Linked DNA regions of Oryza sativa Japonica Group. The protein of the gene in region 3 interacts with the protein of the main gene of each other region in a pairwise test. Links are inferred from orthologs where the notes say so. Each region holds a gene or a part of one and is shown on either strand. Other genes may lie near its edges. The genes, in order: uncharacterized protein At3g52155, chloroplastic; glyoxylate/succinic semialdehyde reductase 2, chloroplastic; scarecrow-like protein 3.

Evidence for each region.
Region 1: the proteins of scarecrow-like protein 3 (region 3) and uncharacterized protein At3g52155, chloroplastic interact in binary tests that used the Arabidopsis thaliana proteins (3 or more experiments, as listed by UniProt). The link is inferred for Oryza sativa Japonica Group from reciprocal best matches to the Arabidopsis thaliana genes SCL3 and AT3G52155.
Region 2: the proteins of scarecrow-like protein 3 (region 3) and glyoxylate/succinic semialdehyde reductase 2, chloroplastic interact in binary tests that used the Arabidopsis thaliana proteins (3 or more experiments, as listed by UniProt). The link is inferred for Oryza sativa Japonica Group from reciprocal best matches to the Arabidopsis thaliana genes SCL3 and GLYR2.

Annotation. Positions count from the first base shown.
Region 1 is NC_089043.1:10,764,217-10,774,598, reverse strand, and holds uncharacterized protein At3g52155, chloroplastic, read left to right. Parts: upstream 1-5,032; 5' UTR 5,033-5,143; coding exon 5,144-5,447; intron 5,448-6,448; coding exon 6,449-6,548; intron 6,549-7,040; coding exon 7,041-7,220; intron 7,221-7,326; coding exon 7,327-7,444; intron 7,445-9,003; coding exon 9,004-9,060; 3' UTR 9,061-9,384; downstream 9,385-10,382. Other genes in the region: ycf20-like protein, read left to right, coding at 2,121-2,269, 3,563-4,004.
Region 2 is NC_089035.1:22,656,324-22,666,549, forward strand, and holds glyoxylate/succinic semialdehyde reductase 2, chloroplastic, read right to left. Parts: upstream 5,550-10,226; 5' UTR 5,481-5,549; coding exon 5,263-5,480; intron 5,032-5,262; coding exon 4,966-5,031; intron 4,474-4,965; coding exon 4,398-4,473; intron 4,288-4,397; coding exon 4,232-4,287; intron 4,136-4,231; coding exon 4,051-4,135; intron 3,910-4,050; coding exon 3,849-3,909; intron 3,743-3,848; coding exon 3,690-3,742; intron 3,600-3,689; coding exon 3,529-3,599; intron 3,424-3,528; coding exon 3,351-3,423; intron 3,265-3,350; coding exon 3,160-3,264; intron 3,056-3,159; coding exon 2,894-3,055; 3' UTR 2,269-2,893; downstream 1-2,268. Other genes in the region: aTP-dependent zinc metalloprotease FTSH 5, mitochondrial, read left to right, coding at 795-1,271, 1,357-2,268; probable pyridoxal 5'-phosphate synthase subunit PDX1.1, read right to left, coding at 6,078-6,419. UniProt on the Arabidopsis thaliana protein: Catalyzes the NADPH-dependent reduction of glyoxylate to glycolate as well as succinic semialdehyde (SSA) to gamma-hydroxybutyrate in vitro.
Region 3 is NC_089035.1:42,358,707-42,369,040, reverse strand, and holds scarecrow-like protein 3, read right to left. Parts: upstream 5,657-10,334; 5' UTR 5,512-5,656; intron 5,125-5,511; 5' UTR 4,978-5,124; coding exon 3,649-4,977; 3' UTR 3,337-3,648; downstream 1-3,336. Other genes in the region: uncharacterized protein, read right to left, coding at 213-477, 1,110-1,356. UniProt on the Arabidopsis thaliana protein: Probable transcription factor involved in plant development.

The DNA.
Region 1 (10,382 bases), on a different chromosome or scaffold from region 3:
AACATGCATGTTTTTCAGATCATGTTTGAATTGCATACTTTATTAATAGTGCAAACTCTACTGTGCTACCAACTCTCATGTGGGAGCTGCAGTGCACGGTAAAAAAAAATCACACAAGTACTTGTACTACTACTACTTCACTGTGCCACCCACTCCACTCATTTTTCTTCACCATGAAGATGAATTTTCCCCCAATCATTTCACCAAGAAGCGGAGAAACCGCAGCAGCAATGAGCTCATGGTGGTCATGGCGCCGCCTCTTCTCCTCGTTGGATAATGGATGGGGCAGCAAAGCCGACGCTTCCTCCGGATCCGGCACCTCCTCCTCCCCTCCCGTCCCTCAAGCTCAACAAGCAGCAGCAGGGGCGCGCCACCAGGAAAGCGCTCGCACGAAGAAGCCTCGGGAGGGCGGGCCGGCCAAAGCCCAAGCCCAAGCCGAACCCTCGCAATCGCAGCTATAGCCCGCGCCCAGCAAGAATCGTCCTTCACCGCGAAAGGCCATGCCAAAGGTATCCAAGGCGAAGGTGCAACTGCAGCTCGGCGACGGCGAGCCAAAGAAAAAGCCAGCCCCGACCTCGTCTCAGAAGCGCAACAACAAGAAAAAGCGGGTGGCGGCATTCGAGCGTTGTGGTCCAAGGCCGACGAGCTTAGGATTTTGGAGGCCATGGCTAACCACGTGAACACCCATCGTAGCACTCTGTGGGATACATGCCGTCTGTTTCCCGCCCTTGCCAGCAGCCTCGACAAAAGAGACGCTGACCTGCCCGATCTCGCCGACAAAGTCCACAAGCGGAAGAGATGGTATGGCAATGCATGCTTGCAGCAACGCAGCCGGACTGACGACGACAATACGCGTTGATTGTTGGATCATGGAGCAGCACCAGGTGGACCTGATCGGCACGAACGTGGTAGCGCGGTGTGCTTCACCTAAGCCTAGAGACTGCGTCGCCCCCAGGGGTGGCGCTGGGGAGGCAGAATGTCTCCTTGTTTTTGTCCCTGGAGCTAGAATCCATGAGCTTCTCCAATGTGCTTCAAGTTATTCCTCTACACCCTGCCATGGCGATGGCAGCCACCTTTTCTTCCTCCTTCAGATCACGAGGAAAATGCAGTTTAACTAGCAATCTCAAATAATCCACCGTCTCCCAGCATTGTAACAATCGCATGAAGAAATAATCTGGTTTTCTTTTTGAATGTACTATATAGCCATTGGAAGGGTGTTTTTACTGTACCTCCCACAGGTGGGTGTACTAGTGTAGTAAGAATAAATCCCACTGTTGATTTTGGTGGCCATTTTAGTCATTTGTTTAATTAATCCCGTCTCCTCATTCGTCGCCGCCCTCGCATTTTAGCATCGTCGTCTGGCTCTTGCTGTGCGAGCGACGGCACCTCGGTGCCTCTTTCGTCGGCGGCGAGAAGAGCTGAAAGAGAGAGGAGGAGACGGGCAAGCGTCGGCCTCCGTGAGGGCGTCCTGAAGGTGAAGGGGCGAGCCAACCTCACCGTCGACGCCAAGGACAAGCTCCTCCTCCAGCTGGAGAGGCGAGACGCCGAGAGGGCAAAGACCTCCTCGGCCGCACCACCCACAAGACATGTCATCGCTGCTCCGGCAGTCCGGCCAAGGTGAAGAGAAATGGGGAGAGAGGAAGAGAGAAACGAGAGCGGGAGGAGGAAGAAGGATGGAGATAGAGAGGATAATATGTGGGCTCCACACTTTTTTTTTGTGTGAATGACTAATGGGTTGCACACATTTTTTTTAATTATAATGCCACGTAAGCGTCACGTCAGCGAAACCACTCTCCAAAACCGTTGAAAGAGTCAAATTATACTGGTTTCAATAATCAGGGGTCGTGATATATGGTATTATGGTTCAGGGATACGAATCAGATTTAGGCACTAATTAAAGGAGTGAAAGTGAACTTATTGTTGGTAGCGCTCGTAGAGATTCTCTAATAAACCAAACACAAAGAGCCCACTGTCCATAATCTCCAGCCCAGTAACAGCCCAATGGAACAAATTGCATATATCCACGGAAGACTCAACAACAGCCACAGGCGGACACAGTCCTCACTCCTCAGCGGCTCAGCGCAGAGGTCTCGTTCGTGCGGTGTCCCCTGCTGCCGCCCATGCCGCTGCGGCGCGGCGGAGCCCTCCCTCTCAGCGCCCCGCGGGCGGCAGCCGGTGGCCTCCGCGGAGGCGGCGGCCGTGGTGCCGCGCTTCTCCACCCGACCTGCTTGTCGCCGCCGGGAACAACTGGCCGAGCCTTGGGCCTCAGGTTAGCTCTGCTCATTGTTGTCTTCTATCCGTTACTTGAATTTTGTTATAAAAAAAAAAAAAGAAACACCAATTGGCAATTGGGTTCCAATTAGACTAAGTTCAGTACTAGGGGCATCAGAAATTGGGATACTTGGGGTTAAGACTAATTCAGAACTAAATTGTCGGAGCTATTGGGAGGCTGGGCGTCAATTTTTACTGTCACTTTTGAATATGTACCTTGTACCAGTTTCTTTCGAGCCCGTATGGATTGGGGGAATTTTGGGGGAGCAGCAGTTTTACCTTCTCCAATTCATTTGCGCACATATTTCTAGTTGGGGGTGTGTGCTGCGACAGTTCCGTGGCACTTTTAGTATATCTGGTTGTTTATGTTTATGATGAGTTCGTGCTACCTGAACCATGTCCATAGTCGGGATGTTCATGGATTTAGCACATTTTTTGCTGACTGTTAGTCCGATTATATTGTCTGTTCAGATTATATTGAAGTTAAGAAGCATATAGGTTAATGTAAAGCTAGGCACTGGGCTGATGTAAGTTGGGGGTTTGACTGTTTAAAATGAATATAATATGGGCTCACCCAAACAAAAAGGATGGAATAAAGGGAATTGCGTTGCACTGCATGTTGTTAGGAAATGCACGCCTGCAGGTTGTGCTCTTGAAGGTGACATGGATGCAGACTTTCGACAAAGTATTGCATTTACCTTCTTCAAACAGTATTGTGATTATGCCACTAGGTTCCATACAAAATATAAGAATTCGGCACGTAATCGTTATATAATATCAATTTGTGGTATACATTAGATCTTATTACTGATAGTACCCATTTTTAGTTTATATGGTATCTACCGCGTTGTATGCTTATACCATTTTGAATAAACAAAATAAAACAATAGAACTAATCCATCTGTCAACAAATATATGACACTTTGGACATGATAAGATCGCTAGTGTGTAAATTTGACCGTCAAAATAACTGTAATACATTGTGTTACCAAAACATTTTTTAGTCACTTAATTGTATTATTTTGACATGAGAAATGTAAGATAGTTCTCTATGTTGTAGTGGTCAAAGTTCAGAATGTTTCCCCACAAAATAAAAGTTCGGAATGTTTAACTAGTCAAATTCGAAGTTTCATATTCTCTGGGGGATGGGAGTAGACGAATTGCTAGCTTCAAAACTGAAGCCTTGTACAAATTGGGAAAAAAAACATGATTGGCGCTGCGCAATCAACTTCTTAAAATCTCTACCCTGTAGAAGCTTTGGCACTTTTGACTCAATATCTCCACTCTGTAGTTGCCAGATGAAAAGAACCAGATGGAAGCCAGTCTTTGCCTTGGAAACAGGTGGACCATCTAACGCTGACAACCAAGATTTCGAAGATGATGGTGGCTTTCTTGGCAGAACAAGGCTGGGAAGACTCATCCAGGCTGCTGCGAGGGAACTACTTGAAAAACTGAATTCTGCCAGGAACAAATCCCCCACAAAGATTTTCCTTGTGCTCCTTGGCTTCTATACCGCCAATGCATTGGCAACAGTCCTGGGGCAGACTGGTGACTGGGATGTTTTTGTTGCTGCTATTGTAGTGGCTACCATTGAGGGAATTGGCATGCTCATGTACAGAAAACCGGCCAGTAGGCCTCCTGGACGATTTTGGTCAATGATCACAATGGTGAACTACTGGAAAGCCGGCGTATGTCTGGGCTTTTTTGTGGACGCGTTCAAAGTGGGAAGCTGAGTTTCCAAATCACCTTCTTATATGTACTTACAAGATTTATTCAGCTGACAATGATACAACGAGTGAACTCCAAGGGTCGAAGCTGCTCCTGTGGTGTTGTATGCAGATAGATATGCTGTGAACTTTACTTCGGCTATAAAATGTACATATGATGTAGTCTTGTTTTGTATGAAATTCATGTAGATATATTATACTCTAGTTTGATGCCCATCTGTTCCTATAGACAAATAATGAAGCCTGTTGTAAGATGACTCTGTAGTTGGCTATGTCCACACCAGGCACACTATTTAATTAGCTACTTGTCTTATTGACTATTTTCCAAAAGGTTATGTTTTCTTGCTAGCTAGTCTCTCCTGTTCAAACAATGACTGAACCAGGACATATGTATACAGTCGCTTCTGTTTTGAATTTCACTTAGTTGGTTGTAATAATTTTATTTTGAGCTATAGTGCTAACCAGGACATATGTATACATCACTGCCTAATTTTGGCCTAAATTCGAAAATTTTCCTATATTTAGAATCCTTTTTGTCCTGTTATAAAATTCACTGCCTGAATTCAGAAGACCTATGTCTAAATATTCTTTTTGGCTTGTCAAATTAATGTGTTCTACGTAGGTCAAAACAGAGAAATTGTGTGGCATTGTTGTCACTATTTGAAATTTTAAAACATGTGGAATACTAAAAAGAAAACAGAAGGAGAAAAAAAGTGTAAATTTCATAAAATCCCATGTTTTGGGTACAAGCTATAAAAAACCACAAATATTATGTCATTTGGCATTAAATTCTAGGTATTATGGTTTAAATGTTTCACGAAATTCCACTGTTATGCATTTTTGAGCACGGATTAAGGCAAAATTCAAAAATATAGAGTACCTATAAAATTTTAAAAATTATCAAAAATTGAATAAATGTAGGGTTTCATGATACACGGAAACAAAAAAAAAACCCTGTGATTTTCTGCAACTTTCTACCTATTTTTTTTCTGAAATTTACTTTTAAAAGAAAATCAGGAGCATCTAGAGTCATCGTCTCCCTATCCATCCATTATTCTCTTCTCCGATGAGTCCATGACAAGCGACCGACCACCTCCACGACGACGACCCACCACCAGCAGCGGCGGCGGCGGCGGCGGCGGAAGATGAGACCTCCACCCGCGCCGCTCTCCGGCCGTGCCTCCCCGCCTCCCCACCTGCTCCTCCTCTCCAACTCCTCCCTCGCGCCGTCGCTGCCCACGGTCGCTGCCGCCTGCCGCATGCCTCCCGCCGCGGCGGCGGCGGCTCGCTCCGTCTCCGTCTCCGTCTCCACCGCCGTCGACGCGCCCACGGCGGCCGCCGCGGAGCCCGCGCGAGGGGACGCGGCCCCCGCGCCGGCGGCGCCGCCGCGGCGACGGCTCATCCTCCTCCGGCACGGGGAGAGCGCCGCCGGAGGGCGCCTCACCAGAGGTACGGGGCCCCCATTCCTTCTCTCTCTTGCTTTCCTTTCTTTCGAGAAATCGGATGGTTTACACCTGACAGTGGATAGGAGCATCAGCGATTTCTCTTTCTTGCGATAGGGAATATGATGTACATTTCTTTGCTATGCTCTGGCTGCTCAAAAGATTGGATGAGATAGTGCACTTGTTATGCTGTTTGACACATTTCTTTACTAGTGTTGCTTGCAGCAGAATTACAATGGTCCGATGAAATGAAACAATGTACTTATTCTAGAGAAATGTTGCTACATATACTACTCAACAAAAGGGTTATTGCAGTTATCAAAAGAAATGGTTCCAATGCATTTACCATTTGTGTGTTATATACTTCACAACATTAGTTTAACGGCCAACTCTTTGAATAAACTAGGTGATTCCCCGCACTTTGCTGCGGGAATTAGTAAGCGATTCTCAATATTTTTTTTTGACAGTCAAGCTAGGAGTAAAACGGGAAAAAAAAACATCAGGGTTAATCAGTACTTATTGTGAAACAAACAAATGATACTCGTGCTTTATTGTAAAACATATTGATGATAAATATATGTTAAACATTATAAAAATGATAGATATACTTATTAAAATATTATGCAAATGATGTGAGGGGTGCTGATTGGATATGCTTGCATGTTGATTTGTACAATTAAATAAATTGTAAATAATGTTGTATGCTTGCATGAGGTTAAATATGTAATTATTGCAAGTGATGATGTGGCATGGTTGTGTGTTGAGCTTTATACTTAGTGAGCTATAACTTTATAGAAAGTATAGATGTGAGAAAAGGGAACCGGGTGAGAAAGAGTCAAAATCGCCATATGCTCATTTGTTGTTTGTTCGATTTGCTAGTTAGTACGCACCATTTCGGTAGCCATGCAGTAGTATGATAATCCCGGATGTCTTTGTTGTTGATAATTACTGGCTCTTGCATTTATTTCTAAAAGACTAAACACCATTTGGCATGGCTATCAATGTCAGATCATGACAGACCTCTAAGCAAAGCAGGGAGAGCTGCTGCAATCAGTGTTTCTAACAAGCTACAACAGATGGGATGGATACCTGAGCTCGTCCTATGCAGGTAACAACTTAGCTTTTGTAAGAAAATCTGTATACATTGATTATGTAGAAGGCTGCTAATGGACAAAAAAGCTTGAAAGGCTGCTAATGCAATATGAGTGTTTTTCTGGAACTTCTTTCCGGTCAGCAGGGTGCAGATTCACATTAGCTTTTTCTCTACCTCCCCCTTTCTTTGCTCTTTCTTTTTTCAGGTAGGAGTAGATCTTGTGTCGCCATAATTGATATGGTATTGCCACGTGAGTTATGATTGCCTTGGATGTGTAGTGGTTCATCATATATACTCTACCGAGTTCTTTTTGGTGATATCTTGTTTCAGTGGAATGTACATGCCTGGAATACTTCTCTATTATTCATTATAAGTATCATCTTGCCCATCCAATTATTTGAACTTATGTCTCTGAAATGCCTAAAATCACATAAATTGTTTTTCTGGTATGCATATAAATAGAATAGGCCATCCACCTTAATTTTTTTTTATCCTTCTTCAATACAGTGATGCAACTCGTACAAAGGAAACTCTTAAGATCTTGCAAGACCATGTTAAGGGATTGTCTGAAGCAATCGTTCACTTTATCCCAAGTTTCTATTCAATTGCAGCAATGGATGGTCAAACTGCTGAACATTTGCAAAAGGCAATTTGTCAATATTCAAGTGATGAAATCCTAACTGTAATGTAAGTCTTCTAATTTGTTTCCAATCATCCTATGCTTTGAATCTCATGCTCAGATTTTTTTTTTCTTCAAGTCCGATCATGACATTTTTGTAGAATAAATATTCAGGTGTATGGGACATAATAAAGGATGGGAAGAAGCAGCCTCTATGTTCTCTGGTGATTCAGTAGTGCTTAAGACATGTAATGCTGCATTGCTTGAGGCTGAAGGAAAATCATGGGTTGAGGTTAGTATTATTCCTGTGACCAAAAGTTGATTCCTTTATTTCCTAGTTTTTGTACACTTCTATTTTGTGTCTGATGCCATACCATCATTTGGATTACTTGTGAATTGTCAGTTGAATCTTACGGCGGGTTACATTCTTAGAGCTGTTATTGAACCTCCATTGAAATGTAGTTCTGTTGTCCTTGCATCATGTAACAGTGGTCCTAAAAGGCAATTTAGAAATCCAACTATAACATATAACATATGATGTACTGCTTGATTTCGAGGAAATCAATGTATGACAAATTCGAACCCTCAAGACTAAACTAATGGGGACACACAAATTTGGCAATGCAACTAAATTTTCATAGGCCCATACCTTGACAGTTGTTAATGTGTTATGTGTATGTGAGATGAGGAAATATTAGCATATATAACCATTAGTTGATCAAGTTTCAGTAGCTTATGCAACTTGGTTAGTCATGTGGAAGTTGGTCTTATGTGAGATTCATGAGGTGACTTGGCCTCATCCAATGTTTTCGGTTTGTTTGTTGATGTTTAGAAGAAATGTAAAATCAATAATCTAGCACCTTACCACATGGAACCTAAGGTAGCAAACATTGGTATTTCAACAACTCCAATTTTGTACTTAAGAACAATAAGTCAAAAAAAGATCAAATTTGTTATGCCGTTTAGCTCAATTCAAACAGTAGTTCATGGGTGCATGAAAAGGGTAGCATATTAATGACATTCTCAGAAGAAGAAATGCATGAAATTGGCTGGCTGGGTCTAACGTAAATGTAGTAGGGGTTTGAAACTAGTGAGATTGAGGATGACTTAAAACACGGCATTTATTTTCATTGTTTTGCAAGGAATGGCATCTAGCAAGTGCTTGCAACAAGAATGTCTTAGTTCCACCATTGCAAAAGTCAGTATTTTCAAATGCACACCCAAGCAAGAAGCTGGCCTGTGGCCAAATGCTAGTAGTGTAAGTGTGGTTGTACATGCAGCATACTAGGGCTCAAATTCTATAATATTTGGCAATGACATCTATCCATCAATTTTACAAGTGTACATCCACACTCTGTGGGACGCATTTGATGCCTCCAACTGGACATGCATAGTCATGTACTCATGTGTGCCCGTGGTATTTTGAGAGGGCGTGTCTTTAGGGGTTGTTTGGTTGATGGCTAAGTTTACTACATCTCACTTTGTCACAAGTGTGTTATGCCACACAAAGTGAGGCTAGCAATTTGTTGGCCAGAAGTGTGGCTAAGTTTCGCAATAATTTCAGTCTATGACGCGTAGGAACAATGATTAGTGTGTAGAAATTATTATTCCAATTATTACACTGCAAATTGAATTCCAAAATTGATAATACGCCTATTGTAACCTTTGCAGAAACACACACAAAAACACGTGCCACCGCGTGCATGCTGTGCACACATATAAGTATAGGCATGAAAGGCCATAGTTCTGTAAACACGTCAATTTGCTCGACATATTTTTTTTTAAATACTGAGTCTCTAGATCGTTTGGTGTTAGAAAATTTGCTAAATCTCTTTGCAATATGGTATGCAGGCCTTTTCGCTGGCTGGGCTTGGGGGATGGAAGCTTCATGGCATTGTAAAGCCATAAATCGTTGTAACTAAAGATAGATGCCATTTTTGTAGCTGTTTTCTTAATCCTCATTTAGTCATTTTTCCTCTTGTATAAGTTGTAACAATCGTTAGATCTCACCGAAGGAATAACATGAATAGATAGATGAGATAAATGAAAACCTCTAGATGCATTAAATACCAGTACTGTATCTGATAAAACCAAGTTTATAGAGCGGCCAAAAAAATGCTTGGTTCTATCTTATAGGTATAAGTTCACTTTGGCTACCTTGACTAGTCACCGAATCTTATCACCCAATTATTAAAACCGATGTAATTTATCTTTCTCAGTGGTTTTAAAACACGGTTTAGCTTACTAGCACCTACATGGAGGTGTTGATCTTATCTTCGTTCCACGTGATGCTTATGTGGCATTAGAATTAAAAGAATATACATGAGATCATTTGTCATTCACACAAACAATATTGTGGGACCCACTGACATGTGGGGTTCACATGTCCTCTCTCCTTCCCTCCTCCCTCCCTCCCTCTCCCTTATCTCCCTCTCTTTCTCTTCCTTTATCTTTCCCTTTGGCCGTCCGTGGGGAGCAGGGACTAGAGCGGTGGCGGTGGGTGAGGCCGAAGTGGCAGTGGCTAGCTGCAGGGCGGGAGCTAGAGCGGCGGCGTTGGCGCTCCACATCCACGTAAAACCTTTTCTTCCTTCCACTTCTCTTTTCTTCTCTTTTTCTCCAAGGTGGTCGGTGGTGGGCAGCAGGGAGAGAGCCAGGCGGCGATGCATGGCCTCTAGGCGCCGTTCCTCTAGCCATGTCACCTCCTCTTCCACCTTTGGTATGGCGACAGCGTGGTGAGTGAATCTGGGGGAACAAAGGAGCGTGCGGAGGCGGTCGACCAAGGGCAGCGATGACGGTCGGGTGTGGGGGTGGTGTGGGAAGGCAGGCACCCCTGGACCTACGGTGGTAGGCCTTGAGGCACTTCTTGGGGTAATTCATGTAGATGCCACTCATTATGTTCACCTCACTGGAATTTTGATATAATTTTATCTTCAAATATAAACCCCCAATTATCGTACTGAGCCCAATCCGAAATGTTCTCATCTTCTACTTCATCTTCTTCCATTTGAACCCCTAGCTCTCCGTGCAAGGTCCAACAATTATAGCTAGGCATGAACCCCGACTCAAACAAGTGGAAATGAATGGTTCTTAATGTAGAATACTCCTTTTGGTTTTTGCACTTATTTCATGGGTGAAAGTGCATTAATCCCCCTAGTGGGTTTTGGTGATTAATGACAAATGTGGTTAAGGGACTAATGAGTTCATTGAGTAACTTTCAGGTGCATTAGTCC
Region 2 (10,226 bases), about 20 Mb from region 3:
ATTTCATTGTTAATTCTAGGTTGTTTAGCTCACTTATTATAATTTAGATAGGGGTAAATTTCACATTGGACCATATATTTGACCAAGGTTTCACAATGGACAAGGACTAAACCAGCATTTTACCACATATCTTAGCATTTTTGGTAGTTTGGACTTTGGACTAGGGTTGAGCACATCAAGGGAATATGTGAGAAAAAAAGCTAATCCAAACAATCATTTTAGTGTTTCATAATAGTAAGATAAATATATTTAGAGAATTCCGTCAAATGGTATTTTAGCAAATCGAAAAACAAGTTTTTTCAACAGATCACAGGAAACAGTGATGTGAACATGTTCTAAAAAGGGCACAAATTAATCTACACAGACTCACAGAGGAGCAAATGAATAAAAACGAAATATAAATAGAACTTATTGATTAGATACCACTAAAAAGAATGAACAAAACATACAATGTGTTACCTCCTATTTTGGTATTCATCCATGCTTAACCACATAAAGTTCTCACATATTCTCTTGGTATGCTTACCCCTAGTCCAAACCACAAACTAATGAAATAATATACATGGTGTTATGTGAAAACATTGATTAATCCCTGGTACATTATGAAACTTTGGTCAAAATATGTGGCCAATGTGAAATTTACTATTTAGATAATGTGTGGAATTGATGTCCGGTTATGTCACATATATCTGTTTATGCATCGTTAAGCCCATAAATGGTGTGAGGATTTACCCCTCATTTTCATCACATGCATATGTTATACGGCAAATGACAAGCTGCTTCCTTGTTTTCAGCGTTTTACACGTCTTGGTGGAAAACTGCCAAAAGGTGTCTTGCTGGTTGGTCCTCCTGGCACTGGAAAGACCATGTTAGCAAGGGCTATTGCTGGGGAAGCTGGTGTTCCTTTCTTCTCATGCAGTGGTAGTGAATTTGAGGAGATGTTTGTAGGCGTAGGAGCTAGAAGAGTCAGGGACCTTTTTGCTGCAGCTAAAAAACGTTCTCCCTGTATCATATTCATGGATGAAATTGATGCGATCGGTGGGAGTAGAAATCCAAAGGATCAACAGTATATGAAGATGACGTTGAACCAGTTGCTTGTCGAGCTGGATGGCTTTAAGCAGAATGAGGGGATAATTGTTATTGCTGCAACCAACTTTCCTGAGTCCCTAGATAAAGCACTAGTGAGACCTGGGCGCTTTGACCGGCATATTGTTGTTCCAAATCCAGATGTTGAAGGCCGGCGGCAAATCCTAGAGTCCCATATGTCAAAGGTAATTCTTGAGAACTTTTGGTATCATGTTTGTCCAGACTAAGATGGAATGTCTTATATTTATCCTTATACACATATGGTTACAGGTCTTGAAGAGTGATGATGTGGATTTGATGATCATTGCCAGGGGAACACCTGGATTCTCAGGTGCAGACCTTGCTAACTTGGTTAATGTGGCTGCTCTTAAAGCTGCCATGGATGGGGCAAAAGCCGTTACAATGAATGATCTTGAGTATGCCAAGGACCGGATCATGATGGGCAGTGAGCGCAAGTCAGCAGTTATTTCTGATGAATCCCGGAAATTGACGGCGTACCATGAGGGAGGGCACGCCCTTGTTGCCATCCACACTGAAGGTGCTCACCCTGTTCACAAAGCTACCATAGTTCCCAGGGGAATGGCCCTTGGAATGGTGGCCCAACTCCCGGATAAAGATGAGACAAGCGTGTCACGGAAACAGATGCTGGCAAGGCTGGATGTGTGCATGGGAGGGCGGGTGGCGGAGGAGCTTATTTTTGGGGATAGCGAGGTGACATCTGGCGCTTCATCTGATTTTCAGCAAGCAACTGCAGTGGCAAGAGCAATGGTAACCAAATATGGTATGAGCAAGCAGCTTGGCTTTGTTTCTTACAATTATGAGGATGATGGAAAGAGCATGAGCACCGAAACGAGACTCCTGATTGAGAAGGAGGTCAAGTGTTTCGTGGAGAATGCTTACAACAATGCAAAGAATATTCTCATCAAACACAACAAGGAGCTCCATGCTCTAGCCAATGCGCTGCTTGAGCACGAGACGCTCACCGGTGCCCAAATAAAGAACATATTGGCCCAAGTAAACAACAAGCAGCAGCAGGAGCATGCTATTGAAGCTCCACAGAAGACACCAGCTGTACCATCATCTCCAGCTGCATCAGCTGCAGCGGCAGCGGCAGCTGCAGCAGCCGCAGCACAGCAAGCTGCAGCGAAAGCGAAGGGTGAAATCGCCGGTATCGGATCTTAGCAGTCACCAAATGATGTTGGATCGATTGACAGCTCTTGAGGATCACGAAGAGTTTGCTAATGCTGCTGCAGTCATCAATAGAACATATTGATTGTGTGTAAGCTGTTATTTCGTTTCATGTTCCTCAAGTGTGTGGTAAGAAAACATAAGAGAAATCATAACATTGTAGAAGGCACATTTAGACTCTGCTTGATATGTGAATTTTTGTATCACATGGCCACACACACGGAAATACTGTTTACATCCTAATAATTTTCAGCTACCTTAGACGTTGGATGGTTATACCTAACAGAGAACCTGTTGTATTTGTCTAGAATGGTAGCTCCAGAGTCCATTTCTTTAGCCCTGTGATGCTCCCTTGTTGTACTGTATGTTCTGCAAGTTGACAAAAGAAGTTTTTCTGTATCTTTGCTGAATTGCCGTGTAATGACAAACAGTAATGTTGGGGCCAGATACTCGCCAATTGCAGGTATTCTGTCATCAATCAGTTTTTTATTCCTGAAAAACAAGTATTACTTCTGTAACAAAATTGGGAGAATTGCCATGGTTTCAGTTCATTGATAGACAATGCTGCATCAATGGCAGCTGAACAAACATTTTGTTTCCTATGCATCAATGGCAGTTTTCACTTGCTCTGCTCCTTTGCCTTCAGCGCCTCGATTACAGCAGAGAAGTCCTGGTCTGCAAGCCCAAGCGATTTCGCGACCTTGTACAGCTCGTTTGCAGCTGCGACTGTAGGAATAGACTGGGACACCGATTCTGCCAGGGCCAATGCGAGCCTCAAATCCTGCCATGAAAAATCCAGTTTTTCGCAGTGCCACAGAAATCAGACGAGATGCAATTGTTGCTGGTTTTTAGTGCTGGCAACATTAACATGCAAGTAGGGGCTACCTTCTGCTGATGCTTCAGAGGAAAAGCAGTAGGGTATGCAGCTTTAACCATGGAAGGGCCCTTGAGGGAGAACATGGGAGCACTGATAGCACCTTGTGAAATAACCTGTAAAGGATCAATGTATGGTGTGTCCTAGATTAGATTCCTGTACTTGGGTATTTACCACTGAAGCACTGTAAGAGCTAACTAACCTCGACAAGAGTATTGGGGTCTAGGCCAACTTTTTCGCTCAGGAGCAGTCCTTCTGAAAACGAAACCATCATGCTGCAGTATTTTGCCAAGAAGATCAGAACTCATTCATTAATAAGTATCAACAGACTACAGGAGTAAGGTTGCTAGAATATTGAATGTGAAGGACTTCTTTGGTACCTCCCCATGACCATATTAACAACGAGCTTCATGTCTGCACCTTTGCCAACGTCACCGAGGAAAAATCTTGACTGATTTCAGAGTAAGGACAGCGTAAGTGCATTTCCTGGCTCAATATGAGGGCCTAAATGGAGTACTGATTGTAGATAAAAGAAGTTAACCTTGCCCATAACATCAAGGAGGGATGCCACTCTATTGTACAAGGACTCATCACCTTACACAAACGTATGGACCATTTCAGGTAACATAATAAGGAACATGACAGCTGCACACTGAAATCTCACAATTACAAAGCTTGGAGGTGTCAGGTGGAAGTTTACCTGCGGTAAGAAAGATGAGCAGCCCATCTTCTGCTGGCTTTTTTGAGCCTGAAACTGGAGCCTACTGAAAAGGTATCGAGTTAGCATTGGACCAACAGTACAAGAGCTGAAATCGCATCGCTAGCGACACATTGAGACAACACAATCAACAGTTGAACACATGACGAGTAGGGTACGATCAGTGGCAGGGACCAGAAACTACCTCAAGGAAAGATGCCCCAGTACTTGTAATGTGCTTGCCAATCAGCTTGGATGTAGCAGCGTCAACCGTCGACACATCCACATACCTGTGACAGAAAACACGATATAAGAGATAATGCTATCTAGGCCAGCACATTCTTGATGCTCCAGGCTTTCTGATGCCTTCTCACAGCAAAGATTACCCTTTCCCTGGGGCCATCCCCTGTGCAGCTCCATTGGCCCCGCATGCAACCTCAACCTGAGTGGAGGTACAAACCGTTAGACGAATGATTAGATCTGCCATGTGAGCTTTCACGAACACGAAATAGTATTGCAGACTGAAGAATTTTCTGAAACGAGGGCATATACCGCGCTCTCCGGATCAGCAAGCATCGCGAAGGTCACATCGCAAGACGAAGCAACATCGGCCGGTGAAGGCTCGTACCTGTAGGCAGGCAAGGCATCCTCTTTGTATCAAGCAAAGTGCTGTACATATCTTTTTGTCAAATAGAATTATGTCTTTTTTTTTCTCTCTCTTTTCTTTTCCCTGTCTCTCTGTTTGGGTCAGCATGAACAGTAATGACAGCAAATTTGTTATAGCTGTAAAGCCTCTGTGCTCTACAAGTGGATTACTTCTGAGTGGAATTTCAGGAAAAGAGCATATGTCATCGAAAAGAAAGTAAAGAATCACAAACGAAGAGCAAATTATGAACAATCTCCGTTTGTGCCTACCAATCCAGAGCTGCACTGCATTGCATTGCAGTGTCCACTGTCCAGCTCCAGAATCCTAATCATGGCGCACACTATTGCCTCACCCATTCAACAAGCAAGCAAGCAAAGCTAGCTAGCCAGCTAGATTGTTGATTCATAAGGGGAAATGGAAATGGAAATGGAAATGGAAATGGAAATGGAAATGCAACGGGTGGGGATGGCATACTTGGCGCCGAGGCTGAGGAGCGGGTCGCACTTGCTCCTGGTCCTGTTCCACACCGTGACATCGCACCTGCAGCAAGAGGAGACAAAACAAGCACACAACTGTAGAAGCATCAGCAGAAGCAGAAGCAGCAGCAGCAGCCATGAACACCATCGAAACCGTACAAGCAGAAGCTGACGAACTAGGCTCGAGACGAATTCCACAGGAGAGAGAAAAAGATATGTAGAACAGTAGTAACAGCTACTAGTACCAAGAGCAGAGTGCAAAAGGAAGGAGGAGAGCAGTTGCGGATTAGTTTACCCGGCGTTGATGAGGTTGGAGGCCATGGGTGCGCCCATGATCCCGAGGCCGAGGAACCCCACCTTCCCACTGAACCCTCCTTCCCCGGACGGCGACGACGAGGAGGCGGAGCAGGAGAAGACGAGGCGTGCTCCCCTGCCTCCGCCGCGTAGGCGCAGCGTGGGCGCCGCCGCCGCCGCCCTCGCGCACAGGAGGGAGGCCGCCGCCATCGCCGCCATGGATGCAGGAAGGGGGGAGAGAGAGAGATAAGGAAGGAGGCGCTGCTGCTGCGAGTGCGATGCGGGCGCGCAAAATCTCGTCTCGCGGCGGTGGTTTGGGCGCGACGCCGCCGCGCGGCTGCAGCGATGCGATGCGATGACGGTCTGACCCGACCCGGTCGAGCCGTGGTCCGGGCCCGGTCTGAGGCTGGCTACGACCTACTCGACCCGTTGTACGTGGTGCGTGGATGCCTCTGCGTCACACACGCACTCGCACTACTACAGTTCGATCGCGTCATCTTTATCCTCTGCATAGCCAACAACCACACCAAAGTGGCAATTCATACATGGCAAAATTTGCTATAGGACACCGAAAGATTTATGTGATCTTTGTTGTGAGACAGCCGAAGATCGTGTATTTGCTCGTGTACACTAAAAAAGTGGTAACTAGCTGCTGGACCCTCTTCTCATTATTTTATTATTTTCGGTCAAAATGGATTGAAAAAATTTAACTGTCAAAATGGATTGAAAAAATTTAGTTAAAGACAAATTTTCCCATGGGCCCACTTGTCAATCCCTCTTTCTCTATTGTTCTTCTTCCTCTCTCTCTCTCTCCGTTCATCTCTTCCTCTCTTTCTTCCGCCAGCGAGGACGACGAGGCGGCGGCGTGCTTGGACGCGACAACCTGCAGTGGGTGACGGCCTGCACGATGGCGCGGGCGCGGCGCGCGGGGTCGCCGCTCTTGAAGATGCCCGAGCCGACGAAGACGCCGTCGCAGCCGAGCTGCATCATGAGGGCGGCGTCGGCGGGGGTGGTGACGCCGCCGGCCGCGAACTGCACGACGGGGAGGCGGCCCAGCTGCTTGGTCTGCATGACGAGGTCGTAGGGCGCGGCGATGCGCTTGGCGTAGGCGAAGACCTCGTCGTCGTCCATGTTGCGGAGCGCGCGGATTTCGCCCATGACGGAGCGCACGTGGCGGACGGCCTCGACGACGTTGCCAGTGCCTCACAGACGTGGTGCGCGGCTTCCTCGATGACGCTGATGATGTGCTGTTCGGGCAGCTCGCCGCAAAGCACGCGACGACGCGGCGGCGTGCTTGGACGCGACGACGCGGCCGGGCCACGGCGAGGTGACGAGGTCGATGAGGTGGGCGGCGTGGGAGCGCGACGCGAAGAAGTCGAGCCCGCCACCGCCGCCGCGCACCGCGCCGACGCGGAGGGCGTCGCCGGCGGCGCCGTGGGCGATGCGCCGCCGCCGCCGCCCCGCCGTCCGCCGTCCGGGCCGGCCGCCGTCGCCCTCTGCTCCACTGCGAAGAAGAAGAAGAGGGGAAAAGAAAAGAAGTGAGAGGAAGAACACTGTACAGGGGTATTTTGGTACTTACACAACTCTTTCTCTCTCCATTTTGACCAGAAATAATAAAATAATGAGAGAAGTGTCTAACAGCTAATTACCACTTTTTATAGTATTCCACAATATTTAACCTTGTACGACACATTTGGGGAAAATTTTCCTCCGTACAAACCTATCCACTAGAGTTTACATGAGAAAAGAAGAATTTTGGATGATCAGTTTTGAATTTAAACATAATTCAAACCATCATATCATGTGTTGCTGATTCATGCCTTCAAATCATCAATTCACACATTTTGGTTGGGGTTTTCACCACGACGGCTTCTTCTATTCTCAAGGTACCACCTCTGTAAATATAAATGCATAAGTAATAGACATGTTCTTCAATACACAACTTTTGCCGTTGATTTTTTTTACAGTATATTATCAACAACTATGAATTGGCATCATGTAAAATTAATTCCAAATATGAATCTAATGCTATCAGGCAAGGAATTTACATGTAAAAACGTAAACTGAGCGTCAACTTGACATGAAACAACATCCAGTGAAGAAAACTTGCTGCTTACTTACAAATATTGAGAATTTCAGAAATATTCCCTCCATCCTAAAATATAGTAACTTTTGGTTGGATAGGAGGACATATCCTAGTACTACGAATCTGGACAGACCACCTATCTAGATTCATAGTACTAGGGTATATCTCATCCAATCAAAAGTTGCTATATTTTGGGACGAAGTGAGTATATGTTTTTGGACAGAAGGGGTGTTGTTGTAAGAATGTGAAGAACTACTACATTGTGTTCTATTTATTTCTTTTATCAGAAAACCATTATACTACACGATTTCATATTTCTTCTATTCAAGGATTGATCATACATGATTTCCTATTCATCTATTCCAGGGTTGATCTTCTAATCATGGAGACAATTTACAACAAGAAAATATTTGTGAGAATTGGATTCATATATTGTTTGACTCTTCTTCATCTCCATGTGATTATTACTTGTACCATTAGTATGTTGTATTTTAATTTCTCTTTTGTGGAGTAGGCATATGCTCCGGCCTTCCTTCACTTGGGAACCGGGAGAAGTGGGACTTAAGACAAATCATTGCACTGCATTGGAGGGATAGGTCTGAATTAGCTTTGCAAATATTCTTCCTCTTTTTACCTTTGTATGCAGAATATGGCATGTGCCTTCTTTTTCTTCTCTTTTTTTTTTTGCAGTATACACTAGTAGAGCTGAGTGCCACTCTGGTATGTGCTGATGTGCAAATGGAGTACCCTATCTTTCTGGGAAAAGTTAAAAAGAAAAACTTTACTCCAAAATCTCACCACTCTGTAGACTCTGTAGGATTGTTCATTGTGTAGAAATTTCAAAGTAAATGGTAGTATTCAATCCCTTCTTTCAAAGATCTTCAAAGATTTTTTTTTATTCTTATAGAATTAAAATCATCCAAATTTCCTATATTTTTCATAGGACTCGAAGTGGTTTTTAGGGCCTCTTTGAATCGCAGAAATAAAAAAAGAAAGAATAAGAAAAACACATGATTCTGATAGGAATGTAAGTGCAAAATGCAGGAATGACCATTTGAAATGTAGGAATTGGAAGAAAGAGATAGACTCAAAGGAAAATTTATCAAGAGATTAGAGTTCTTGCTAAATTTTCTCCAAAATCTCTATAGGATTGTCCATTCCATAGAAATTTCAATGAATAGGATAGGATTTTATCCTTTGTTTCAAAGGCCTTTATAGGAATTTTTTCTAAAGCGTTAAAATCCTCCAAATAAGTTCTTCCTCCAAATCAAAGGGGTTTTTAATGAATTAAAGCTCCATGAATCAAAAACAAACATATCCATTGCATAGCATTTGGCCGCGTTTATTCAAATTCAAAGGCCTGTCAAGGTGGAGCCTAAAACGGAAGTTTGCAGTTGTGGCAGGGGATCTTTTTCCGTCTAAAAACCTATGTGATATGACCTCTTAGTTATGTAATCTTGCAATACTTAATTAGCAACCTTATAGTTTTTAAAGCTTCATCTTAATTGAACAGGATATTAACACACACACACACAAAAATTGTAACAAATAGAAGACGTCACCGTCCCATTTTGATAATACGGTGCTGTCTTACAATACACATGGCGTGGACTATGGTACACGCCGCACCATACACAGGTGTCCTCCACAGGAGAATAGAACGGTGTGATTGTGACATCAGCACATGAACTGCAGTGAGAGAGAAAAGATTTCTAGATCCAACCCATGGGCGACGTTAATTAATAAATTGTCTAATATATGCAAACCCATCACCATTCTGATGCTAAAGTTAATTAACAAACATGTTTGCAACGTACATGTTGGAAGGGCACAGCCAGGGGTTAATTAGCTAGGTGCCTGGGTTTTAGCCGGTCGACCACGTGATTCCTCCAAAGTTTAACCCCGGCCGTCAAAACAGGAGCTCAATGGGTAATAATGTACTACATATTTTAATGCACGACGCCATTGATTTTTTATCTAACGTTTGACCATTCGTCTTATTCAAAAAATTTATATAATTATCATTTATTTTATTGTGACTTGATTCGTCATCAAATGTTCTTTAAGCATGACATAAATATTTTCATATTTGCACAAAAAAAATTGAATAAAACGAATAGTCAAACGTTAATTGAAAAGTCAACGGTGTCATATATTAAAAAACGGATGGAGTACTAGATAGTCTAAGCTTCCTGGTTATTCCTTAATGTGCAGACTGTCGCGCGGAAATTTTGCAAGGCATTCGTAGGAACTAGTTAATTAATTTCCACGAAAATCGGCCTCAAAACTTAATTAGATGCATATTATTTATTTTTGTAGTTAGATTAGAGATATAACAATTACATATTTATATATGTATCGAAAGGCATTGTCATATTGTTATAATTCCTACTATAGTTATATTTTTGAGGCCACATTTGATGAACATCTTTCATGACATAAGAGCATATGAGAACTATGGCAATGTTTTCGCCACTAACAAATCAAATCTTCATTTCCTTTTTGTCCTTCCTTTGTCTAGGGATTTTGGCGTGGGTCGACATATGAGTAATAATTAATTCATTTTAGTTCTGACTAGATGATGTACATTTTAGTTTTAATATAAAAAGTAAAAGTTAGTTTATTCAGTTAAACTAGATTAAACCCGCTCTTATCCCTATCTTTGCCAAAGATGATCTTGTGTTTGTGCAACTCCAATTGCAAAAAGTGAGATGCACATAGCGATAAACAAGACATCATCATTCCTTATCGGCAAAAACAGAAGGTCCCCTACAAGATAAATTTGGCTTGTTGTTGCCCAAAAAACAGTTGTTATCTTACACATTTCCATTTCTCTAGTCCTTTTCGAACCATACTAGTACTTCCGTTTCATCGGGAGT
Region 3 (10,334 bases):
CTAATATCAATACCAAAATGTCAGTACCAGAGACTGCAGATAAAAGAAAGCACGCTGATTTACTAGCCTGCCTATCGATTTAAAACAGGTCTACTTACCACTACAATACCTAGTCTATGAGGTGCAACAATATGGTGGAGTTTAATCATTAATTTTTCTGCTGAATAAGATAGGGAAACAGCAAAACAGAAAATATTAGAGACAATACTGACCCTCCACTTAAAAAGAGCCTGCCAAGCGTGGCGATGGCCAACCTAGAGCGAAGCCCAGGATGCAAGAAGTATAAGATCTGCAGTCTCTCCTTGTATTCAGGTGGAAGATCTTCATAGACCCCCCTCAAGATTGACATACCAGGGTTGTTATCATCTGACTGCACAGTGCTGTGCATGTACAAAAGGCAGAATGGCCCCTCTGGCAATTCGGTGCGCAGCTTGTGAAGAACATACTTCTTCAGACGATCACCACCTATGACAGGAGCTGGAATTCGAAAAGCAGATGTTATGTTAGTGTTGACAATGAGAAAAGAGTAAGGGCCTAACACAAGAGCATTACAGCATCAGGTTTACTTCATGACAGTCGCAGCCGCACACTATATTCAAGAAATGAACATACAGCTGCTTGCTATTTCCAATATCGGTATAAAAAATGACCAGCAACCGCTCCAATACACCGCCAGGGCGCCAGGCACTAATGAAGGGCAGCAAAACGGAGATAAACGTTGTACCAACTAGGCAATTATCAAATGAATTATCTGACATTTAGTTAAGATCAATCAAACCATCCATTGATCGAGTGCTAGCAAACGAGCTCTGATATATTAATTCAAGGTCCAGCATTCAACAAATCTGTGTACCTCTCCCAAGTTCAACGTGTCCAAAACACTCAATTCGGTGCATCTACCGAACAGTGCAGGCGGATCAGAATCTAAATTTACTACACAATTGAGAAGGTCTATGAACTATCAATCTCCAGGATCCAATTTTTTTCCTGTTTAGTTCACATAATTCGCACCCACATAGATGATAGATACATCCAGAAGGGAACCACGATCCAATCTGATAAAGCCACAAAGGAAAGGAGAGGTGGGGAGAAGAGGGCGTTTGGCGCACCAGGGAAGAACCTGCCGACGACGCGGACGATGCGCCTCCCGGCCCTGTCGGTGCCCTGGACGCGGACGACCTGGAGCTCTTCGAGGTCGGAGAAGTCCTCGCCGTCGGCGGGCGCGGAGAGGTCGGGGAGGCAGTCGTGCCACTCCTCCCGGTCGGCCGGGTTGAGGAGCACGGCGCCGGCGTCGACCGCGAAGTCGGAGCCCAGCACCACCACGGAGAAGTCGCCGGTGCCCTGCGCGAGCGCCATGGCCGCCGCCGCCGCCGCACCTCACGCCGTCACGCGGTCGATCCCCGCGCCGGCCATCCACCACCTACCAAGACGAGACGATGGAGAAGGCGACTGTTTTATTTGGGCCTCCATTGGGCTCAACTAAGAGGACACCAAGGCCCATCTTGCCGGGCTTGCTGGGCTGCATGCTTCTCCTGGACCTTTCTGTCCCTTCTTTTTTGGAACAAGTCTATCTCGCCTCTCCCATCAACTGCTCCTTGATTAAACCGTCTCTCTACGTAAAATTGGGTATAAAGCATCTCCCATCTTTAATCCGGTGCACACTGACTTATTCAGTCGTTTGGGAAACGGTTTCTGCTAACATGACAAGTTGACTGCGATTGACTCGTTGAATCGGCAAGAGATCCACATGTTAGGGCATGTATAAAGGTAGAGTCCGATATGATTTCTTAATTAATACATATCACTTACAGATCATCCTCTTACAATATTTGAGGGGAGTACCTATACATCTTTCGAAAGATTTTTATGATCGTATCACACATATTTTTAATCTTTGGATTAAAATCCGATAGATATAATAAAAAGCAAAAAGCAATTAAGAAACACCATAATGGACACTAAATTACCATATCCTCAAGAAAAAGACCAAATCCAATACAAAATTTAAAATTTACATTCGAAGATTCAAAAATTACATTGTAACTTACAAAAGTTACAGTGTAAGTTTCATAAGTTACACTGTAACTTACAAGAAAATGCACTGTAAATTTGAGTGAGAAAATCGAGTGAGAGATAAGAAAAAAAAATCTTTCGAGTGAGCTATAGCAAAATTGATAATTGAGAACAGAAGACCTCTCTTAACAATTATTACACCAGAACACTATGGGCCTCCATTGGGCCCATCTAGAAGGACACGAAGGCCCATCCAGCCAGGCTTGCTGGGTTGCATGCTTCTCCTGGATCTTTTATACCCCTTGTTTTCCTCTTCCACGTTCTCTTCTAATTACAAAAAAATGTAGTTTTTTTTTCAAAACCAAAAAGAGGTCACAAAGGAATGAGATCTTTTACCTTTCTGAAGTGACCAATATGCAATTTTGACCACTTAATTCTAAATATCACATATTTGAAAACGTTGGACAGGTGTATCAGGAAAAGTTTCAGATATCCAAATATGATATCTGGAGTACTAGTATGAAGAACATGAAGAATAAGTAGAATCCACAGTGGCTGCAGGCTGCAGCTATGCGGTTACCTGAAGGAAGCAAACAGGTCCGTGAAAACGATAATCCAAAGGCGAATTTTTGAGGAAGGAACCATTCATCCTTGCCATTTGTCAAGAAAAGGAAAGGAGCATCTGATCCGAGCATCCGTCTTTGCTAGTAAAACGGCAACAGCTTTTGGCTCCAGGTGAACGATTCGATCGATCTTTTTTTTTTCTTCTTTAATGTTTGATAAGAGAGACTGATTAGATGGTGATTAATCTGTGAGGTGAAACCGACATTAACATCACGCGTGGTGCTACCAATTTCACCGTGGAAAGCAAAGCAGGGACGCTTTTGAGGTTGGAGCTCCCAACTTTGGCAGAAGTTTGGTGGAATTTGGAAACGCCACGCCACCGGCTGCCGATTCCGTGGAATTTCCGACAAGGTGAGCTCGATCTTGGCCGCTTCTTCCGACACGTTGAAATTGCTACGCCCAAAGTTGAATTCTTCCACGGAGAATTCAGAGCGTCGTAACATGAGAAAAGAAAAGGGCAAATCCAAAGTCATAGTATTTCAGGACGAGATTACCACTCTCGTCGTCATCGGCATCATCAGGCAGAGCTTAATTTTGCTGGATTTCCTTTACGTAACTGATACGAAACTCACGTAGGAGTGTACGTTCAGGTTTGGCACTGTTGTCTTGTCTTTTAGTACCAAATGCAACGACCTTCATGCCTTTCCGATGAGCAAGTAGTTCAGAAATAGTAGTGTAGTACGAAAAAGAGGGAGGGAGTTGTTCAGTAAACTTCACTTGATTGATTCCTAGGGAAAATTATGCATTTCAACCAAAACGGAGAGAGAGACACACACACACTATGAACAAAACAACACAAGGACATCGAATTCACCTGGACCTAAGCCAGATGACACAAACAGAAGAAGGAACTAAACAGTTACTAAAAATGAAAAAGAAAAAGATTAAAGACTAGCTTAACCATGAATGTTCATCAGCAGCAGCAGCAGCAAGTAATCTAGTCGCGGCGGCGTCTCCTTCGCAGAAATACGGGAAGGCGGCGGCGAGCGGCGGCAGCGGCGGCGGCGGCGGTCAGTCGAAGCGGCGGCCGCGCCATGCGGAGACGGAGAAGAGGGCGCGATCTTGCCAGCAGAGGAAGAAGTTGCCCTTCTCCTCCCGGACCTTGAAGCCGTCGCAGCCGAGGCCCTGCGCCACCCGCCGCGCCTGGAGCAGCGCGTAGTAGCTGAGCGGGACGCGGCCGAAGCCGGCGCCCTCCAGCCGCCGCGCCCACCGCTCCAGCCGCTCGTGCCGCTCCCGCCGCTCGCCGCCGTCGCACGCCACGATGTTCTTGATCTCCTCCCCGAGCAGCCACCGCTCCACGCGCGCGCGCTCCACCGACCCGCGCGCCGCCCCCACCTCCAGGCAGTCGAACAGCGCCGCGTAGTAGTTGAGCGCCTCCACGAACCTCTCCGTCAGCCCCGCCGCGTTGTGGCTCGCCTCCTGCTCCGCCACCACCATCACCTTCGGCGACAGCCCCCACAGCGCGCCCAGGAACGCGTCCGCGCGCGACGTCGACGGCGACAGCCCGGACTCCGGGCTCCGCCTCTCCTTGTCGCCGCCCGCCACGGCGGCGGCGTCGTCGTCGGACGCCAGGAGGCAGTGCAGCTGGAGGCTGGAGCAGATGGCGAGGGCCTCGCCGGTCTTCACGCGGAGGGACTCCACGTCGAGGGCGTCGAGGCGGGACACCACCGGGTTGAACTGGAACGGCACGTCGAGGCGCTCTGCTTCTTTCGTGAGCGCCATGGCTGTCTGGGTGAGGAGTTCCTTGTGCTCGTGCACCGACGTGAGGCGCAGGTGCGGCGGGCCCTCGGGGCGCGCGGCGAGGAGGTGGAGGAGCTCCAGCCATTGCGTGGCGTCGGCGCCGCCGAGGTCGATGACGTGCACGATCTTCTCGGACTCCATGGCCTCCAGTATCGACTGGTTGGCGGCGGCGCCGGCGAGGCGGAGGAACGGGCAGAGGTCGAGGAAGTGGCGGCGCGCGGCAGCGACCTCGGCCGGCGTGGGCGACGCGCGGGGCAGGAGCAGCGCGCGGCACAGCCCAGGCCACGCCCTCAGCGCGCGCCGCGCCAGCGCCTCCGCGAAGGCGGCCGCCACGCGCTGCATGGCGTCCCCGTCGGGCGCCGCCAGCGACGCGATGTGCTCGAGCGCGGCGTTCGCAGCATCAAGCCGCCCGGCCGCCGCCGCCGCGGCGCAGTTGAGCAGGAGATGGATGAGGCACAGCCCGCGCTCGTCGGAACGCAGCTCCCGCACCATCCATGGCGGCGTGGGCGACGCCGCCGCGGCCGGGTGGAGCGGCATGTTGGAGAAGTTGTGGAGCGGGGAGGATGTCACCGACGACGACGAGCCTTCGTCCTGGACCATCAGCCTCGCCAGCGCTACCCCCCCAAACCTTGAAATACAAAAAAGCTACAACCTTTGATCCAATCGATTCTACGAGCACGGGCGCATTTGAGGTTTTGTGATGAGTGGAGCCCGCGAGGTGAGGGTGCAAAAGGCTGCGAGCTCTGCCTGCGCAGAATTAGATTGGAGACGAAGAAGAAGCCATTAATAATCAAAGCAAAGCAAAGCAAGTAGTGTAGCGCAATGAAGGCGACGATGAGAAGAAGCTGGCGCCAAAAGTCCAAGAGGATCGAAACAAGAAGCAAACAGCTCGGGAAACAAAAATACAATACCGGGGCCAGATTTCCTCAGGCAACGGGACAAAAGCAAATCGCCACCATTTATTTCTGCGATACAACCCACAAGCACAAGCAGCGAGCGACAACGACGAGAGCTATCTATCTATCAATCATCCTATCCTATCCTCCAACACTTGCATCGAGAGAGGCGAGGCATAGCAGCGGCATGCATGCATACCACCACAAGTGAACAAAAGAGAAGGAAGAAAATGCTCACCTCAAGGAGGAGCAGCAGCAGCGTCCCTAGTCCGTCCCAAGAGAAGAGAGAGGATTTCACAATCTTTCAGAGGAGACGATGCAGAATTGCAGATATAAAGAGGACGAGAGAGAGAGCAGGTGAAATGAACGAAATGGGGTTTGGTGGTAGTAGCGGCCTGCGCTTTGGACTTTTGGGGGGTTGTGTGCGCGCGCTGGCGACAAGAAGCGGAGGAGGCTTTTTTTGTCCGCATCGCGCTTGTCTCCACTCGCGCACCGGCACCGGCCCGAGCATTCATTTCACTCCTCTTCTTTTTTTTTTTCCTTTTTTTTTCTGTCCGAGACTGCACGCTGCCCCTTCTATTCTCCCGTAATCTGCGTGGACCGACTCTACCTCTGCTCGAGTAGCGGAAAACCTCGCTAATTTCCGAATTTCTTATCGGTTTTTCTTATGTATTAACTTTAGCTTACGTGTAAACCCTCGTGCTTCTTTTTTTTTTCGATCGGTATCCCATCCTTTATGGCTTTATTTCTGAGTTCGGGAGCATCTTTTTTTTTGTCATATTACTGTGCTTTTGCAACTTAGACGTGTTTAATTTAGATTGTTGTTGTTGTCACGGATTAAGTATTTATTATGGGCGAGTAGCTAAAGCTCGTTATCGGTTTTTCATAGCTTGCGTGTAAATCATCTCTTTTTGAATGCTTTATCTATGAGTTTGGGTGTATCCATTTTTCTTAGATTATTGTGTTTTTGTAAATTAGGCCATGTTTAATTTAGATTATTGAATAGACTATTGTTACGGGTTATGGAGTGATTATAAGAACAAATAAATATTAAAGAAATGAACTTAACAAGTAGATTAAAATAATTGTATAATCAATGCAGTAAAAAAGCTATTTAAGAGAATATTTTCTAAGCGTTGAGCAAATAATATGTTTTAATAATCTGATGAATAATCTGAAAAAGAACAACACCTAGTGAGAAGGAAATAAAATAATTTTACCATGTTACCTGGACATAGGCTATCAAAATTTATGCTAAAATATAAGGTGCATTTTGCCTTCTTTCTTATATGCCATAGAAAATCTTGCAAGAAAGATACGACTTTAAGAGAGAAAAGAATGCATTCTTGTTCTTCTTAACTTATGGAGTATTAGGAATGCTAAATACTTTATTTTTAATTCATGTGTAATGGTCCAAGTGTATATAGTAGAAATAGAGTTTTCTCGTGACAGTGGCAGTACTCTCTCTAATTTTTAATATACGTCACTGTTAACTTTTAGACATATATTAATAAAAAGAGCATATGCAATACTTATTATTTAAGTAATTTCAATGAAATAAACAGATCATAATAAAATAAATAATAATTATATTTTTTAAAAAAATAATAAAAAAAAGGGTCAAAAATACATTATCTATTAAAAGCCGGAGGCAGTATTCAATTTGTGCTACCCCGAAAGAACACTAGCTTTGCTAATTGGGGAGCATGCAGGGTTGGATGTGCAAAAGGTGGCTCGCAGTACTACCATAAATAGCTTTTTCGGGACAATATATAATAAATAGTATAATTGTAAAATACAGTAAAGGTAAAGAAACCGGTAAGCCCCCACGACTCTTGTCGCGAGGTGGCGAGAGGAAGAATAAACACAAGAAGGAGCATGGCGTGTTGGGGCCTCGTTATTCCTCCATCCCCGCAACACGACGACGACGCCACAACAAAACAAAACTCGCCCCCACTTCTTCTTCCTCCTCCTCCTTTAATTTTGTTCTTTCTTGCCACCCTCTTCTCTCTCTCTCTCTCCCCCGCGGTCAGTCTGATGGTTTCTGAAAACAACTCTAGAACCCATTCAATTGCTGCAGGCTCACTAGAGCTAGCTGCTGAGAGGAAAACCCAATACACTGCACAAAGAAAATGTAGAATATAAAGATTTTAAGATCCACATTTTGCACCTTAATAATACCTTTTCCATTTTATATCATAAGCCGTTTTAATTTTTTTTTCTTCTAGATAAACTTATTTAGGCCTGACTATGTTTTAGAAAAATTTATCTATATATACAACACCAAATTAGTTTAATTAAGTATAACATTAAATGTATTTTGATAAAATGTTTGTTTTGCGTTTAAAATGTTGCTATATTTTTTACAATCCTGATTAAACTTTACTTAAATAAGTTTGACTAGAAAAATAATGACGATGACTCCAAAACCAATCAGATGCTTGAAAAGCAAATCTAAGACATTTAAATTTTTTAAAATAATAATTAAAGTGAGTAAACTTTTTTATCTAACTTTAGTATTTGCTAATCCTAAAAACTATTATTATATTTTGAAAGGTGGAACAAGGTGGAAAAACATAGGCAACGACACTGGGCTCCATACTCGGATGTGTTTTTATAAGGGAGAAGAATGAGGTTGCTTGTAGACGGACAGATAGTGATCCAGCGTCCTGTTTTGCCTCTCTTAAAGGGAAAAAATAATACGGAGTAAAAAAGAACTTAGGATGGCTCTGATGCGCAATGCATGTTTGACCGCAGAATTAACACTCCTGCTGGCCTCACTCGACTTACATGTACTGTTTGTCCTCACTCTACCATCTCTAGGATATTTACCGACCCCGACAGTAGCGCGGCTACTGTACGATAACCATAACAAAACTGTGACAAATTAATGCTAAAAAAAGGAACTACTTGGTGGAAAATTTCCCACCATTTTTTAAACAAAAAAATTCAAACAAAATTTATCAAACCCTACCGATTATTTACTTCTATCATGCCCCTGCAATAAGCTCGGTAACCGCATGTAGGAATAACCCCGAGCAAAACTATAAATTGCTTAGCATGATTTATTCATACCTTATGGCTTAAAAATCCCTTCTAAATTTTAACTTTATAGTTTTACCGGTATCCTCTACTTTACTAATATCTCGTGTTGATTTTTAAATCGCTAAAGACATAAGTTTTAAAGTTTTGACCAACAGAGTTACTTTTTTATCAAATTCAGGCCAAAATATGAGCTACTTCCTCCGTTTTATATTATAAGACTTTTTAGCATTTTTCACATTTATATATATGTTAATGAATCTGGATATATATGTATGCCTAGATTCATTAACATCTATATGAATGTGGGAAATGCTAAAAAGTCTTATAAGAGCAAGTTTAATAGTATAGCCCACTACTAGCTCCAAATCATCTATAACCAATGTAATAGCCAATTTATACAATAGTTGCTTACTATACTATTAATATCTGGTCCTACTTGTCATACACATATTACGTTTTGGAGTCTGTGCTGCCCGCTGCTCTTCTTTTTCTTCTTTTATCTTTTTAAAATATATTTGTAGCTGGTTTATAGCTTGGTATTGTACCTGCTCTAACTTGAAACGGAGGTTAGTATTTCTTAAGAAAAATGTATAAAAAGTGATGACATAGGTAGGTAAAAGCATGCTAAAGCCGCCGTATCTATGAGTACAAGGGAGGTGGCGAGTGCGTCCAAGGGAGCCGCGGGCGGGGGCGGCTGCATCCAAATTCCAAAGGCCAAAACAAAGGGCAAACGAGGGGAAGAACCGAAGAAGTGGGTGTTGGCGTCCGGTGGATCCGTCCACCCTATTAAAAGACGAGACGACAAGCAAGTTTTTCCGCGACTTGGACGCTTGCGCTGCGTGTTCACTCTCCCTACGCCCGCAGGTGGCCCATCCTTCTCCTTTCCCTTCGCCGTGACGACCCGTGCAGTGCAGGCAGGCAGCTACTCGTAGCTTAGCTGCAGTTGCGTTTGCGTGCCCGTTGATAAATGTTCACCGGCCACCTCGGCCATGGCAGGGGCAGGGCATGTGCATTGCGTTTGTGCCATTTGTGAGAGAGAGAGATGTTGTTGTTGTACATTGTGTGTTGTTGTACCATGCGATTAGCCATTGCTTTGCTTTGTGTGGCGGTTTGTACAAAACCAGCTGGGTTTCATCAATGCGATGGGTAGTACGGAGTACTCCCTCCATAAAAAAAAAAGACAAATCATCTGTTTCCGTGTCCAATGTTTGACAATCCGTCTCATTTAAAAAAAATATGAAAAAATTAAAAAGATAAGTCACGCATAAAATATTAATCATGTTTTATCATCTAACAACAATGAAAATACTAATTATAAAAAAATTTATATAAGACGGATAGTCAAATGTTGGACACAAAAATCTAGGGTTTGTCTTTTTTTATTTTTTAAGGACGGAGGGAGTACTTAAAAAAAAACCTAGGGAGTAATTCCTTCCTTCCAGTTGGCAAAGGGAGAGGGTACTTAAAAAAACAGTTAATACTAGTACTAGCTCTTTAAATCTGACCGACGAGTGAGTGAGTGAGCAATTATCATTCTTTCGAGAGGCAGATCCGTTGAAGTGGCTTTACTTTACTGGGAGATTTACTTTAGTTTTGCTCTGTTCCGGCTGAAATCCGTTAAAGAGGCAGAAAGAACGGTTTTTCTTTTAAAAAAGAACAGTTGGATCAGTTATAACCGAAGTGAAAAAAAAATGCCCTTTTCTAACCATTATTCTAACCGTATCGACAACTACAAGCTACAGGTAGAGTCCGTGTTAGACGGTACGGTTGTAGCTTCATTTAATGGACTTGCGGTGGTGATTGGCCCGATGCTAATCCCTTTCTTAATGTGTGTGCGGGCGACATTGGTTAGGAGAGGCATCATAGCTCGTTAAGGCTCCGCTCATTCTCTTAACGAGTCAACTTGGCTTGGCTCATTAATCTTAAAGAGTTAAAAGCCTAGCTCGGTTCGTAAGCTGGCTTGTTAAACTCATTAACACATTTAAGTCATTTTCGTAATTTTAAACTTACAATTTA